Anolis sagrei: one gene and its partner. The protein of the gene in region 2 binds, or shares a complex with, the protein of the main gene of each other region. Links are inferred from orthologs where the notes say so. Each region holds a gene or a part of one and is shown on either strand. Other genes may lie near its edges.

The links. The genes of interacting proteins can lie anywhere in the genome.
Region 1: LSM11 (region 2) and LSM10 share a complex: the UniProt entries of both Homo sapiens proteins name them as parts of the heptameric ring U7 snRNP complex. The link is inferred for Anolis sagrei from reciprocal best matches to the Homo sapiens genes LSM11 and LSM10.

Annotation. Positions count from the first base shown.
Region 1 is NC_090034.1:85,136,411-85,144,084, forward strand, and holds the start of LSM10 (U7 snRNA-associated Sm-like protein LSm10), read right to left. Parts: upstream 3,012-7,674; 5' UTR 2,925-3,011; intron 1,799-2,924; exon of another isoform or gene 1,755-1,798; 5' UTR 1,633-1,754; intron 1-1,632. UniProt on the Homo sapiens protein: Appears to function in the U7 snRNP complex that is involved in histone 3'-end processing. Increases U7 snRNA levels but not histone 3'-end pre-mRNA processing activity, when overexpressed. Required for cell cycle progression from G1 to S phases.
Region 2 is NC_090022.1:80,301,477-80,308,570, forward strand, and holds the start of LSM11 (U7 snRNA-associated Sm-like protein LSm11), read right to left. Parts: upstream 3,018-7,094; 5' UTR 2,504-3,017; coding exon 2,089-2,503; intron 1-2,088. UniProt on the Homo sapiens protein: Component of the U7 snRNP complex that is involved in the histone 3'-end pre-mRNA processing. Increases U7 snRNA levels but not histone 3'-end pre-mRNA processing activity, when overexpressed. Required for cell cycle progression from G1 to S phases.

The DNA of each region.
Region 1 (7,674 bases), on a different chromosome or scaffold from region 2:
CCGGCAGGCCTGCTGACCGAAAGGTTGGCGGTTCAAATCCGGTGAGTGGGGTGAGCTCCCATCTGTCAGCTCCAGCTCCCCATGCAGGGACATGAAAGAAGCCTCCCACAGGATGGTAAAACATCCAGGCGTCCCCTGGGCAACGTCCTTTCTTGCAGGCGGCCAATTCTCTCACACCAGGAGCAACTTGCAGTTTCTCTAGTCGCTCCTGACATGGAAAAAAAGGTGCTATGGAATTCTACAGTGTAGAATATGCACCCCACACTTTTTAATATATGTGTTTGAATGATCTCATGGTTTTATTTATGGATTTCAATATAGTTATATACCACTTTAATGATCATGGCCCAGAGCTATGGAAGGAGTCGCCGTTGGCACAATGGGTTAAACCCTTGTGCCGGCAGGCCTGCTGACCGAAAGGTTGGCGGTTCAAATCCGGTGAGTGGGGTGAGCTCCCATCTGTCAGCTCCAGCTCCCCATGCAGGGACATGAAAGAAGCCTCCCACAGGATGGTAAAACATCCAGGCGTCCCCTGGGCAACGTCCTTGCTTGCAGGCGGCCAATTCTACCACACCAGAAGCAACTTGCAGTTTCTCAAGTTGCTCCTGATATGAAAAAAAGGTGCTATGGAATTCTACAGTGTAGAATATGCACCCCACACCTTTTAATATATATCTTTGAATAGTCACACGGCTTTCTCTGTGCATTTTAATGCAGAAATGCCAATTTTTAATGCATGTTGTACATTTCTACCATGACCATGACTCAGTGCTATGGAATCCTACAGTAGATGCAACCCCAAGCCTTTTAATATGTGTTTGGATGGGCTCATGGCTTTATCTGTGCATTTGAATGCAGTTCTGTACCACTTTAATGACCATGGCTTTATGTTATGGAATCCTGCAGTTCAGATGCAACCCCACATCTTTTAATATATGTGTTTGAATGGTCTCACTGCCTCATTTGTGCATTTGAATGCAGTTTTATACCGCTTTAATGACCATGGCTTCGTGTTGTGGAATTCTGCCTTCTAATATGTGTTTGAATGGTCTTTTTGTTTTATCTATGTATTTGAACTATGGGTGCCTCTAGTCCAGCCATGGGCAAACTTCGACCCTCCAGGTGTTTTGGATTCCAACTCCCACAATTCCTAACAGCCTACCGGCTGTTAGGAATTGTGGGAGTTGGAGTCCAAAACACCAGGAGGGCCGAAGTTTGCCCATGCTTGCTTTACTCTATACAGTAGAACAGTGGTTCTCAACCTTCCTAATGCCGTGACCCCTTAATACAGTTCCTCATGTTATGGTGACCCCCTACCATAATATTGTTTCTGTTGCTACTTGATATCTGTCATTTTACTACTGTTATAAGTCGTAAATATCCGATATGCAGGATGTATTTTCATTCACTGGACCAAATTGAGCACAAATACCCAACACTACCAAATGTGAATGCTAGTGGGGTTGGGGGAGAATTGATTTTGTAATTTGGGAGTTGTAGTTGCTGGGATTTATAGTTCACTTATAATCAAAGAGCATTCTGAACTCCACCAGCAATGGATTTGAGCTGAACTTGGCACACAGAGATCCCATGACCAACAGAAAACACTGGAAGGGTTTGGTGGGCACTGACCTTGAGATTGGGAGTTGTAGTTCACCTATATCCAGAGGAGCACTGTGGATTCACATAATGATAGATCTGGACCAAACTTGGCACGACTACTCAACATGTCTAAATATGAACACTGGTGGAGTCTGGGGAAAATAGACGTTGACATTTGCTGGGATGTATAGTTCACCTACAATCGACCAACAATAGAATTGGGTCAAATTTCCCACACTGAATCCACATGACCAACAGAAAATACTGTGTTTTCTGACGGTCTTTTGAGACCCCTTTGACACCCCCTCATGACCCCGTCTGGGGTCCCAACCCCCAAGCTGAGAAACAGTAGAATGACTAACTGACTCAATGTTATGGAATCCTGGGAGTTGTAGTTTTAAAAGTCTTGAGGCTTCGCTGAGAGGACAGCGCCTCCCAGGATTTGTAGACGCCCCCTGGGAAGAACTGGGAGGACTGCAACTCCCAGAATCCATCCTCTTATTACCAATTCTGGGCACCACAATTCAAGAAAGATATTGACAAGCTGGAATGTGTCCAGAGGAGAGCGACTAAAATGATAAAAGGTCTGGAGAACAAGCCCTATGAGGAGTGGCTTAAGGAGCTGGGCATGTTTAGCCTGAAGAAGAGAAGGCTGAGAGGAGATATGATAGCCATGAATAAATATGTGAGAGGAAGCCACAGGGAGGAGGGAGCAAGCTTGTTTTCTGCTTCCATGGAGATTAGGACAAGGAACAATGGCTTCAAACTACAAGAGAGGAGATTCCATCTGAACACGAGGAAGAACTTCCTGACTGTGAGAGCCGTTCAGCAGTGGAACTCTCTGCCCCGGAGCGTGGTGGAGGCTCCTTCTTTGGAAGCTTTTAAACAGAGGCTGGATGGCCATCCGTCAGGGGTGATTTGAATGCAATATTCCTGCTTCTTGGCAGAATGGGGTTGGACTGGATGGCCCATGAGGTCTCTTCCAACTCTTTGATTCTATGATTCTATGATTCAAAGCCCTGGTCTTGAACACAATGGAAAATATTGGTACAATTCTGGGAGTTGTAGTTCCTGTCAAAAGTAACTTTTCCAAACTTTTGATTGGGTTCCATTAAGCCCCACCCTTAAAAAGAGCAGGAAGCTTTTCTGCAACCTATTAGTCCCAAACGCATAGCTCAATTATGCCTAATGCAACTGCTTAATAGCTCTACATTGGTGTAAATCCATGGGATTCAATGGGTCTACGCTACTGCCAAACTAACAACAGAAACCCAAAGCACAGCCGCTGGGAGGGATAATGGGACATGCAATCCATCGCCTACCTGGCCAGGATTTCCTGCTTCCTCGTGCAAAGCAGAAAAGACCACCAAAAAGCGCATGCGTAATAGGAGATTCCCGACTCAGAGGCTCTGAAGTGGGCGGAGCTAGATCAGAGCGCCTCGTTTTCCCATTCGCCTGGACTTGCCCCCGCCCCGATGGAACAGAGAAGCAACTCCATTGGCCCGGAAGGCGGTCCTCGGACACGGAAAGATGGCATTTGATTGGCTCGCTGCTTCCCCCCCCCCCCCGCTTCCAGGATTGGAAGTAGGTAATGTTCGAAGCCACAACTCCTTCCCCACTTTGCTGTTGTCTTCGACTTGTTGTCTTAGGCTTGTCAGCAGCCTATGATACTGTGAACCACCGCCTCCTCCTGAGAAAAATGTATAATATCACAAAGGACTACCACCTCACCCGCCTCATAGGAAACCTGCTACAAAACAGGAGCTTCTTTGTTGAGTTCCAGGGCCAGAGAAGCAGATGGCGGAAACAGAAGAACGGCCTGCCTCAGGGGAGCGTGCTCGCTCCATCCATGTTCAACATCTACACAAATGACCAGCCACTGCCAGAAGGGACAGAGAGTTTCATCTATGCTGATGATCGTGCCATTACCACTCAAGCAGGGAGCTTTGAGATGGTTGAAAAGAAGCTCTTTGAATCTCTAGGTGCTCTTACTGCCTATTACAGGGAAAACCAACTGATCCCTAATCCATTTAAAACACAGACATGCGCCTTTCACCATAACAACAGACAAGCATCCCGAGCTCTGAGGATTAACTGGGAAGCAATCCCACTGGAGCATTGCAACGCACCCAAATACCTGGGAGTCACTTTGGACCGTGCTCTGACCTACAAGAAGCACTGCCTGAACATCAAGCAAAAAGTGGGCGCTAGAAACAACATCATACGAAAGCTGGCACAACCTGGGGATCACAACCAGACACAGCAAAGACATCTGCACTTGCGCTATGCTACTCTGCTGCTGAGTATGCATGCCCAGTGTGGAACACACATCACCACACTAAAACAGTAGATGTGGCTCTTAATGATACATGCCGCATCATCATGGGGTGTCTGTGCCCTACACCACTGGAGAAATTACACTGCTTAGCCGGTATTGCACCATCCGACATCCGCTGGGAAGTAGCAGCCAATAGTGAAAGGACCAAGGCCGTGACATCTCCAGCCCATCCCTTGTTTGGGCATCAGCTAGTACGCCAATGACTTAAATCAATAAATAGTTTTCGAAGATCTACAGAGACACTTGCTGGAACACCTCAGCAAGCAAGAGTCCAAAAGTGGCAGGCTCAAACCCAGAACCTCAACCAATGGCTGATACCAAATGAGAGACTCCCCCCTGGGCACACAGAAGACTAGGCGACTTGGAAGGCGCTGAACAGACTGCGCTCTGGCACCACGAGATGCAGAGCCAATTTTAAGAAATGGGGCTACAAAGTGGAATCCACGACATGCGAGTGTGGAGAAGAGCAAACCACTGACCATCTGCTGCAATGCAGCCTGAGCCCTGCTATATGCACAAGGGAGGACCTTCTTGCAGCAACACCAGAGGCACTCCAAGTGGCCAGATACTGGTCAAAGGACATTTAATCAGCTACCAAGCTTGCAAATTTTGTGTTTTGTTTTGTTTGTTTGTTTTGTTAAAAATGTAATACAACTGTCTGGTTGCTCCTGACATGATAAACAAATAAATAAATAAATAAATAAATTATAAGAAAGGTAAACAACATCAAAAAAAAAAAGGAGAGGGGAGGGGAGTAGGCAATAAAGAAAAGGTAAGGGATAAAACATCTTTCTATTTAAAGTTTTTTTTGTTGTATCTTTAACTATAGAAAGAGATCGGTACATTGAAAGTGTGGGAACAATATCCGGATAGGAAAGTAGGAAATGAAAGGAAAAAAACTCCCAAAAAACAGGTTGACTTCCTTCTATTCATCGGTGGTTGATAGTTTAGCTATTGATATGGCAGGAAATTATTTTTTACTTCCCCATGTCTCATGTGACATCTTGTGAGTATCATATTTCAAATAATCAAATTGATCTTCAGTTGCTTAAAGTAGTTCTTTACCAGGTCCCAATTTGCTTGCTTCTTCGGAAGGCCTTGGTTTCGCGAAATCCAATATGTTAGTTGGTCCATGTTCATTACCTCTACAATTTTCTTTTGCCAGTCCTCTCTTTTTGGGATTTCTTTCCTCCTCCAAGTCTTCGCAAACACTATTCTCGCTGCAATCACTAAATAACTGAATAAAATTTCTTTATCTTTGTCTTCCGCTATTTCTAACATTCCCAGCAAAAAATATTCTGGTTTCTTTTCAAGCTTCGTATCCATTATTTTTTGTATTTTCAAATGGATGTCAGTCCAATACTTTCTTACTTCAGGACAAGTCCACCAGATGTGGAAAAGGTTCTCGTTTCCAACATTTGTCTGAGGCATTTTTGTAACATTTAGAGATTTTGTGGGGGGTGATGTATCACCTATGAATAATTTTAAGCCAATTTTCTCTTAATTCGTACGCATATGTGTATTTAATCTTCTGGTTCCAGATTTTTTCCCATTTCTCTAATTTTATTGGGTGCCAATAATAGGTGTATTTTTACAAATACACACAAACATACCATTGGGTCCCCATGCACTTTGCATCCTGGTTGAAAAAAGAAGCTGGTGCTATATATTTAATGACTGTAAGCCAGTGGCTACAGGAGCCTTTATGGCTGAGGATGAGAAGCAAAAACATTTTACATGCAAAATATAGAATATTGCCTGTCTCCCATCTGGAAAAGGAGTCCCTGATCCATGGAAAAGTGGCCATTTCCCCTGTGACCTTGTGCAACAAAACAGCAACAAAGATGGAAGGTCGGAAGGCAGAATTTGCAACAGGCAGACCACACACAAGATAGAGGGCAAAGGACAAACAACAAGGTCTGGCCCAAGGCAAGGCCGTGAGGGACTCAGAGCACAGACACACAAGGCCAGACAGTGGGAAGCTACCACTGTATTCTATATTTTGCCTTTGCTGCCTCCTATTATTTATTAAAGGTGTCTATTGCTGCCACCAATTTACTATTTTAATAGGCCACTTCCTTCAACTGGAATGTTCAAAAAGCCACATGAAGACTTCAGTGAAAATGAAACAGGAATATGTTGTTTATTTTGAACAGTCAATATGCATAAGGGTTTCAAATAACTTATCAGGCTTTACTTCTTACAGAGGATGGTACTTTTATCTTTAGTTTCTTAAAACAAAGTTCCACACACAGAAATTCAAACAGGATCTTTAAAACCTTTTGACTCTCCCTTCCTCCCCAGCACTCTAAACACTATAGAGGCCTATTAACTATTATCTTCAAAGATATATTTAAACCACAAACAGTTTGCAAAATCTTCCTTCCTTTCCCTTTCAAAACTTCTGTCTTCTTCCTCACCATACTCCTGATCTAAAATGGCTGCCTCAGCTTTTTCGCCCCCTTTCTGGCTCCACCCATCTCCAGTTGCTGAGCTTTTCCCTCCAACTACATCAACCAGACTGCACTCCTGGCCATGAGGCTGCCTGTTTGCTCCTCCCCTCAGCTCTTCTTAGCCTTAGCAACCCGGGCCTGATTTCTGCCTTTTACATCAACCCTTTAAGGTAGGCCAGTCTGTTACACCTTGCATCTCTGGAACCACATACATAGATTCATCAAGGCATTGGAATTCAGTACACTAACAAAATTTGAAAAAAAAATCAGTTCCTGAAAGTGTTATTTTCTGTTTAATTGTGCAGTCCTTATTTTGGAAGTTCATTGTTCTACTCCAGAAGCTTTGTTTTTGTGGCTGCTGCAAACTTTGTTGAATTGGTTGAGAATCGATGAGATATTCATTGAAAAACTATAGCAAAATGTGCTACAGGATGCCCAGCAAAAACAAAGTTTTTGCAGTTTAATCCATTTTTCCATGTTTTTGATACACCCAATTAGTAAATGACATGTATAACCCAGGATCAAAAAGAATGTTACTTAGTGTTATAAGTGGCTCATGTTCCTCCCAAGTGGACTGTATCACCGTTTAATGCTTTATGTGCCACCAATGTATTGGTAATGGGAGTGTAATTCAGTCTCAGATTGACTTATGCAAAAAGCCACTTTGGCTCTTTGCAGATGGGATACTTGAGAAAATCTTCCACATTCAATATTTTGTTGTTTATTCGTTCAGTTGCTTCCGACTCTTCGTGACCTCATGAACCAGCCCATGCTGGAGCTCCCTGTAAGCCATGGCCACTCCCAGCTCCTTCAAGGTCAAGGCAGTCACTTCAAGGGTACCATCGATCCATCTTGTCCTTGGTCGGCCCCGCTGCCTTTTTCCTTCCATTTCCCCCAGAATTTTGTCTTCTCTAAGCTTTCCTGTTTTCTCATTATGTAGCCAAAGTACTTCAACTTTGCCTCTAATATCCTTCCCTCCAGTGAGCAGTCGGGCTTTATTTCCTGGAGTATGGACTGGTTGGATCTTCTTGCGGACCAAGGCACTTTCAGAATTTTTCTCTAGCACCACAGTTCAAAATTGTCTATCTTCCTTCGCTCAGCCATCCTTATGGTCCAGCTCTCGCATCCATAGGTTGCTACAGGGAATACCATTGCTTTAACTATGCGGATCTTCGTTGCCAGTGTGATACCTTCAATATAAAGAATACTTATTTTCCAAATTGCTTTTGAGTGAAGAAATGGTAATAGAAAAGATAAACTAAAAACCCATGACACTGCTGC
Region 2 (7,094 bases):
GAACCCTCAGAAAACAAATATATCACTATCTTAAGACAATTCCACACAAGCATTATTATTAAGCATTGAAGCTGTCTTGAGATTGGGGTATCCACATAACATACAACCCCAGTGTATGCTGTAAGCACACATTAAGTCTGAAGAAGTGTGTTAAAAAACTCACCAGAAATATCGGATTAAATCAGAAAATCTGGTGCAGTTGACCAGAGTATATCCCATGTAGGGCTCAAAACTGGGATGATTCCTAACAGACATGGATATGCGCATCTAGTCACTGATACTGTAGTTTCTGGGTTTGCTCCTGTTTCGCAGTCAGTGGATAGTGTGGCCACCATCCCAGTCTCTAACCAGTTCCTGGGGCAACCATTTAGTTGTTCCACCAGAGACTGGTTCTCTTTCATTCACTTCCTAACTTGGTTTAAGTCGCTGTATAGAACCGCCCTTATTCACCCATTTGGATAATTTAGGATTTCTGCATACTTTGATGCTCAGTTTGTATTCTGTCTAAATTTAATTTCCAGCTAGGCATCTTAGGTGCATAAGAAACACAAATGAATATCTTGTTTAGACTTTGGTCCCATCTCAAAAGCTCCATCTACACTGACCATTTCATGCAGCTGGATGCTGGGGTGGCCAGACAACGAACGTTTGCTGCATGTATGACCTGAAAGTCCTTAATGCGCATCAGTGCTCTGTGGTTTGCGCAACCATCAGACTGATTCCAGGATTTCCTATATAATAATCTGTACAGCGAACCACTTTCTTCAATGCTGGTTTGTGTATTAAAGTGTATTAAATGGTCAGAGATTAGATGTTTCCTAAAATGTCTCCATAATAATAATAATAATAATAATAATAATAATAATATCTCCAAAATACTTCTAGCCCCAAGGATCAATCATAGAATTATGAGTTGGAAGAGACTGCAAGGTCCATCCAGCCCATTCCTATTCTGCCATGAAGGAACACACCATCCAAGGATGCAAAGGATGCTCAACCTGTATTCTGTATAAAATTCCTTTCAATGTGTTTCAGCTGTAAATGAAACACAAATGAATTCCAGTTTTAAAATGGTCCCATCCCCCAAGACGTATCAATAATAATAATAATAATAATAACAACACATCAAAAGTACAGGTTGTCACAAAAGTCTACATAAAAGGTAAAGGTACAAGTTTCCCCTGACACTCAGTCTAGACCAGTGGTTCTCAACCTGGGGTCCCCAGATGTTTTTGGCCTTCAACTCCCAGAAATCCTAACAGCTGGTAAACTGGCTGGGATTTCTGGGAGTTGTAGGCCAAAAACATCTGGGGACCCCAGGTTGAGAACCACTGGTCTAGACACTGACTCTGGGGGGTAATGCTCATTTCCATTTCTAAGCCAAAGAGCTGGTGTTGTCCATAGACACCTCCAAGGTCATGTGACTGGCATGACTGCATGGAGCGCTGTAACCTTTACGCAAAAGTGGTACCTATTGATCTACTGACATTTGCATGTTTTCGAACTGCTAGGTTGGCAGAAGCTGGGCCTAACAGCGGGAGCTCACCCCACTCCCTGGACTTCAGCCACCAACCTTTCAGTCAGCAATTTCAGCAGCTCAGGGGTTTAACCTGCTGTGGCACTAAATACATAGGGAAAAAATGACAAACTCACATTATGTGTTATATTATATATTTTAGATGGCTGTATATTTGTATACTTTTAGATATACAGCGAATAAAAATAGTTTGTAATGAATATTTTGTAAATGAAGTAAATGAAGGTACATTTAATTCAGGCATGGGCAAACTTGGGCCTTCCTCCAGGTGTTTTGGACTTCAACTCCTACAATTCCTAAAAGCCTACCGGCTGTTAGGAATTGTGGGAGTTGAAGTCCAAAACACCTGGAGGAAGGCCCAAATTGGCCCATGCCTGATTTAGCTCCCATTCTCCCTCTGTAGGGCGGCTTTGGAGACTTTGTATGGCAAGCATCCCGAGTGAGGGACACCCCAAGGCCAGGGGCGAATCCTGCCCGCCGCCTTTCCTCTCCCTCGAGGCGGGCCTCCTTCCCTCTCTCCTTCCCTGCCTGCCCGCTTGATGGCGCCTTACGGGGCATCCGGGTGAGGACGTTCCGCGGCGCCTTCTTGCCCCGGGCCCGGCTCCTCCCGGCCTCCTCGGGCGCGGCCTGCTCCACCACCATGAGGCTCCGGAGCCGCTGGATCCGCGCGGGGTCTGGAGGGGCGGAGGCGGCCCGCCCGGCTCGGCCCTTCCGGCGGCGGCTGCTGCGGCTACTGCTGCGCCCGGCTTCTCCGGCCTGCGGGCCCCGGCCGCGCTGGAAGCTCTCGTACTCGGCTAGGTTGTTGAAGCAGGGCGCGGCCGGGAAGGGCAGCGGCGTCCGCGGAGAATAGAGCGCCAGGAGCGGGTCGAAGCGCGGGGAGGCCACGTCCAAGCGGGCCGGGCTCGGGGAGCGCTCCCGGGAGCGGCGGCGGCGGCTACTACGGCGCCCGGGCCTCTTCTCCTCCATGACTCCGTCCTTCCTTCCTTTCCCGCTCGCTCTCCCTCCCTCCCTTCCTTCTGTCTTTCCGCGCCTCAAGCCCTGCCAGGAGGGCCCAGTCCCTCTCACATTAAGCACGTTGTGTCCAGCCAAGGCCTGGCTCTCCTTTCGCGCCTTCCCGGTCCCTGGATCCTGGAGTCAGCCGACGGATTGAGCGCCTCCAGCTCCCATGCTGCTCCCTCCAAGCCAACGAGTAACTCACTACGGGCGGGCGCCACGGCCCAACTCCCCTCCCGCCACTTTCCGGCCCAGGCTCCCCCTCCTCTCTCTCTCTCAACACCTCAGTCTCCCAGAATCATCCATTTCCAAGGTCACCTCCAGACCCACAATTTAGTCTCGCCACTGACAGGAATAAAAAAGACAACTACACGCCTTGGCTCGCTTTGAACGTTGTGCCTGGTTTAAAAAATGGCGCTTCCACGCTCAGAATAGAAGCGGAGGGGAGGTGGGGGGCAAAACCATGAGGAAAAGCGCTCTGGAAAGTGTAAAGCCCACGCACTTGTCAACGCCGCTTCTAACATGACATCTCTCCTCCCACTGTTTTAAATAAATGCCACCGCATTTTCTCTTCTATGCACACTACGCACAAAGGGGCCAGGAATGGGATCTCTGCTCTTCTTCTTCAGAGGAGGAGGAGTGGGGATCTGGGCCTGACGTGGGGATTGACAACTTTCTGGTGGAACCATCTGGCTCTCCCACAGAGAGGCCTTGTTTATATGGAAGATCTGCCTTTGTTTGTTACTACAGGACAACAACCCTTTTATCTCAGGCCTGGGCAAACTTGGGCCCTCCAGGTGTTTTGGACTTCAACTCCCGCAATCCCTAACAGCCTCAGGCCCTTCCTTTTCCCCCTCAGCCTGACAAACGTGGACTTCAACTCCCGCCATCCCTAACAACCTCAAGCCCTTTCCTTTTCCTCCCTAGCCAGGGAAACATGGGCCCTCCAGGAGTTTTGGACTTCAACTCCCACAATCCCGAACAGCCTCAGGCCCTTCCTTTCCCCCCTCAGCCTGACAAACGTGGACTTAAACTCCCGCCATCCCTAACAACCTCAAGCCCTTTCCTTTTCCTCTCTAGCCAGGGAAACATGGGCCCTCCAGGTGTTTTGGACTTCAATTCCCGCAATCCCTAACAGACTCAGACCCTTCCTTTTCCCTCTCAGCTGTGCAAACTTGGGCCCTCCAGGTGTTTTGGACTTCAATTCCTGCAATTCCTAACAGCCTCAGGATGCTTACTTTTCACCTTCAGCTGCTTAAGCAGCTAAGGTGGGGAAAGGAAAGGACCCGAGGCTGTTAGGAATTGCGGGAGTCCAAAACACCCGAAGGGTCCAAGTTTGCCCAGGCCTGCTTTATCTGGAGATCCGAAATACTGTATATACTCAAGCATAAGCCGACCCGAATATAAGCCGAGGCACCTAATTTTACCACTAAAAACCGGGAAAACGTATTGATTCGAGTATAAGCCGAGGGTGGGACATGCAGCAGCTACTGGTCAATTTCAAAATAAAAATAGATACCAATAAAATTATATTAATTGAAGCATCAGTAGGTTAAATGTTTATTAATATTTACATAAAACTGGAAGGTAAGACTGTCCAACTCTGACAAAAACCATTATTCTAACCTTCAATGTACATGTGTTTACGTATCCTTCCAATAATAATAGAGTAAAATAATAAATGCAATAATAAAATAATATTAATATTAAATATTATTATCAATATTATGTGTAAATGTAATAATAATAAGAGTAAAATAATAAATAACCTTGACTCAAATATAAGCCGAGAGGGGCTTTTTCAGCCTAAAAAAGGGGCTGAAAAACTAGGCTTATACTTGAGTATATACAGTACTCTCAAATTGTCCCCACAGATAGTAAGAGAGTGAGCACCTTTGCTTTCTAAACAAAATGATTTAAAATAAAATATAAAATAACCCCTAGCTATATCTAGACCTCTGGTGGTGCAGCGGATTAAACCACTTGCTGGCCAAAAGATCGGCGGTTTGAATCCGGGATGCGGGGCAAGTTCCCACTGTTAACCCCAGCATCAGCCATTTTAGCAATTCGAAAATATACAAGTGTAAGTAGATCAATAGGTACCACTTCTCCGGGAAGGTAACAGTGCTCCATGCCATCATGCTGGCCACATGATCTTGGAGGTGTCTACAAACAACGGCAGCTCTTTGGCTTAGAAATGGAGATGAGCACCAACCTCCAGAGTCAGACACAACTAGACTTAATGTCAAGGGGAAATCTTTACCTTTATATGTAGATGTATATGAAACATAAATGTATTTCATGTTTAGTCCCTAAGATTCTCATTATGTACATTGTTCTGAAACCTTAAACATTTCTGGTCCCAAGGGATGCTCAACCCCTATTAGTGTTATGCAGGGGTGTAAGAAAGGTACACATTTATATACTTCACAGCTCAGGTTGTACATGCAGCAGACTTTTGAGCCCGTTACGTAAACAGTTTCCATGACTGATTTGAGAGGGTGTCGTCATGTTTACCCGCTTGCAAGCCAGGGATTCTGTACAGAGTGGAATGTAGTAAATGTCACCGGCTTGACTTTTATGAGACATCCTCCGCAACTAGGAAAGCAGAAGGAGAAATCACATGCCTACAAGAGGCGATAGTGAGACATTGTAAACATATCCTTGAAACAGCCACATTACTTTGCAATCCTCACAGATAACAGCAATCCGCTGGATCAATGTGAGTTATGCAGCCAAAGGAGTGGGATCCAGTGTGACTCCCAGACTCCCATACAGGCACACAATCTGACATCTTCTTTCTTCCAATGGATGTGGTTGAAACACACTGTGACTAGTGAACTTTTAAATGCTGTTTTAGGAACCCTACTGCAAAACAACAGGAATCCCACACCCCAGATTAGGAGAGACAAAACAACTGTGAATTGTCCCAAAAGCAGCTGTGGCCTCACAGTACAAACTACTGGGAACTCATGTATCCTGTGCCTTGGAGTGTACCCTGTCCAATCTAGATGCAATCCAGATCTGCTTCTGATACACTTCAGGGATTACTGGATTACACGAGTCTCCACTGCCAGAATCAGACCCTGGGATATAGGAACAGTGTGGAAGGGCCTTAGGAAAGCAACATTATTTCTCTGCTTGTGAGTGGTAGCACAAGCTTCTCTCTGGCTTGCCTTATCCATCAGCCTGAGTACCTTACCTTTGTGGACTGATGAGCTAAGAGCCAGTATCTTATAGCTTGGGCATGGGCAAACTTCAGCCCCCAAAACACCTGGAGGACCGAAGTTTGCCCATGCCTGTTACAGCTGCTTCTATTCTTTCTGTTTAATATCCTCATCAGTTTTCTCCAACTTGGTGACACCCAGATGTGTTGGACATCTCCCATGATTTTTGCCCAATTCTCGACCATTCTTGGTGGAGCTGATGGGAGTTAAAAAGTCCAAAGCATCAGAAAATACTGAACTGGGAATGTGGATCCAATGGGTAATAATATGGTGCTTAGGTTTGACATAAAACCATGAGTGAATTCAGAGTAGCCAATATGCACTCAACATTCAAACCAAGAGAAACTGTTCCAAATTATGAATCAGTGTCTGGCATCAGAAATACAGAAGGCAACCTAAGGTTTAATCAGTGCCAGCTTAAGACATTTTTTTGTCTGAAGGTCAAGATGACTCCTCTCTTCAATTCCAACATAAATCAACTAGACCAGCAGTTGAATGCAGACTACCTGAATGACGGAGTTCTACAACATGACTGTTTTTTTAAAATGCTGCAAAACTCCAGTTGAGAACTCACAATGCTAGCAAGTATCTGTATTCTGCCTTGAGGTGTTCAAAGGACTATAACATTCAATTCCATTCACCATTGCCATGAAACTGATAGGGACAAAAAGAAAAAAGTACTAAAGCCTGTTTCCCCATTTAAAAATGCAAAGCACCCTTCGTTAAAATTAGGTCTGTCACTTTACTTTCCCCACTTGATTTTTTTAACCATCTTGGCCTGAAGATAACAGCAGATTTAACTGTATGTGGCTTCTACATTACAGATAACCATGTAAGATAAGTAGCTTTATTAGTTATCTTTTTCAAACAGGCTGCAATGAATGATGCTGTAATGCCTTTTGCTCCAAATCTTGTCACATTTAAAAAAGAAAGACAAAGGGAAAAGACCAATAGAGAGGACCAAGAGAGCATCATTAGCCTGCATAAAAGCTTCCTCTTATCATAATCTTCCAGCCCACGTTACGTATGGTTAAGTGTCCTTGTAAAATCTTACAATTGATCCATGTTGTTCCATTTCCCGTTTTGGACAAGGTCTTGATACTTTGTGGCTTTGACAAAAGAAAAGGCCGAAGAGCAACGCAAACTCTTGTTGAACTCCACACCATAAGGAAAGAACTTTCTCTACAATAGTTGCCACAGTCCTCTCAACAGCAGGTTTTGGATAGTTTCCCAGGCAGTAGTAAAATGAGACCATGACCTACAAACATACCCTGCTGTGATATCTCCCTTATACAATAACTTTATTATTCCAGTCTGGCCACCTGAGACCTTCTCTA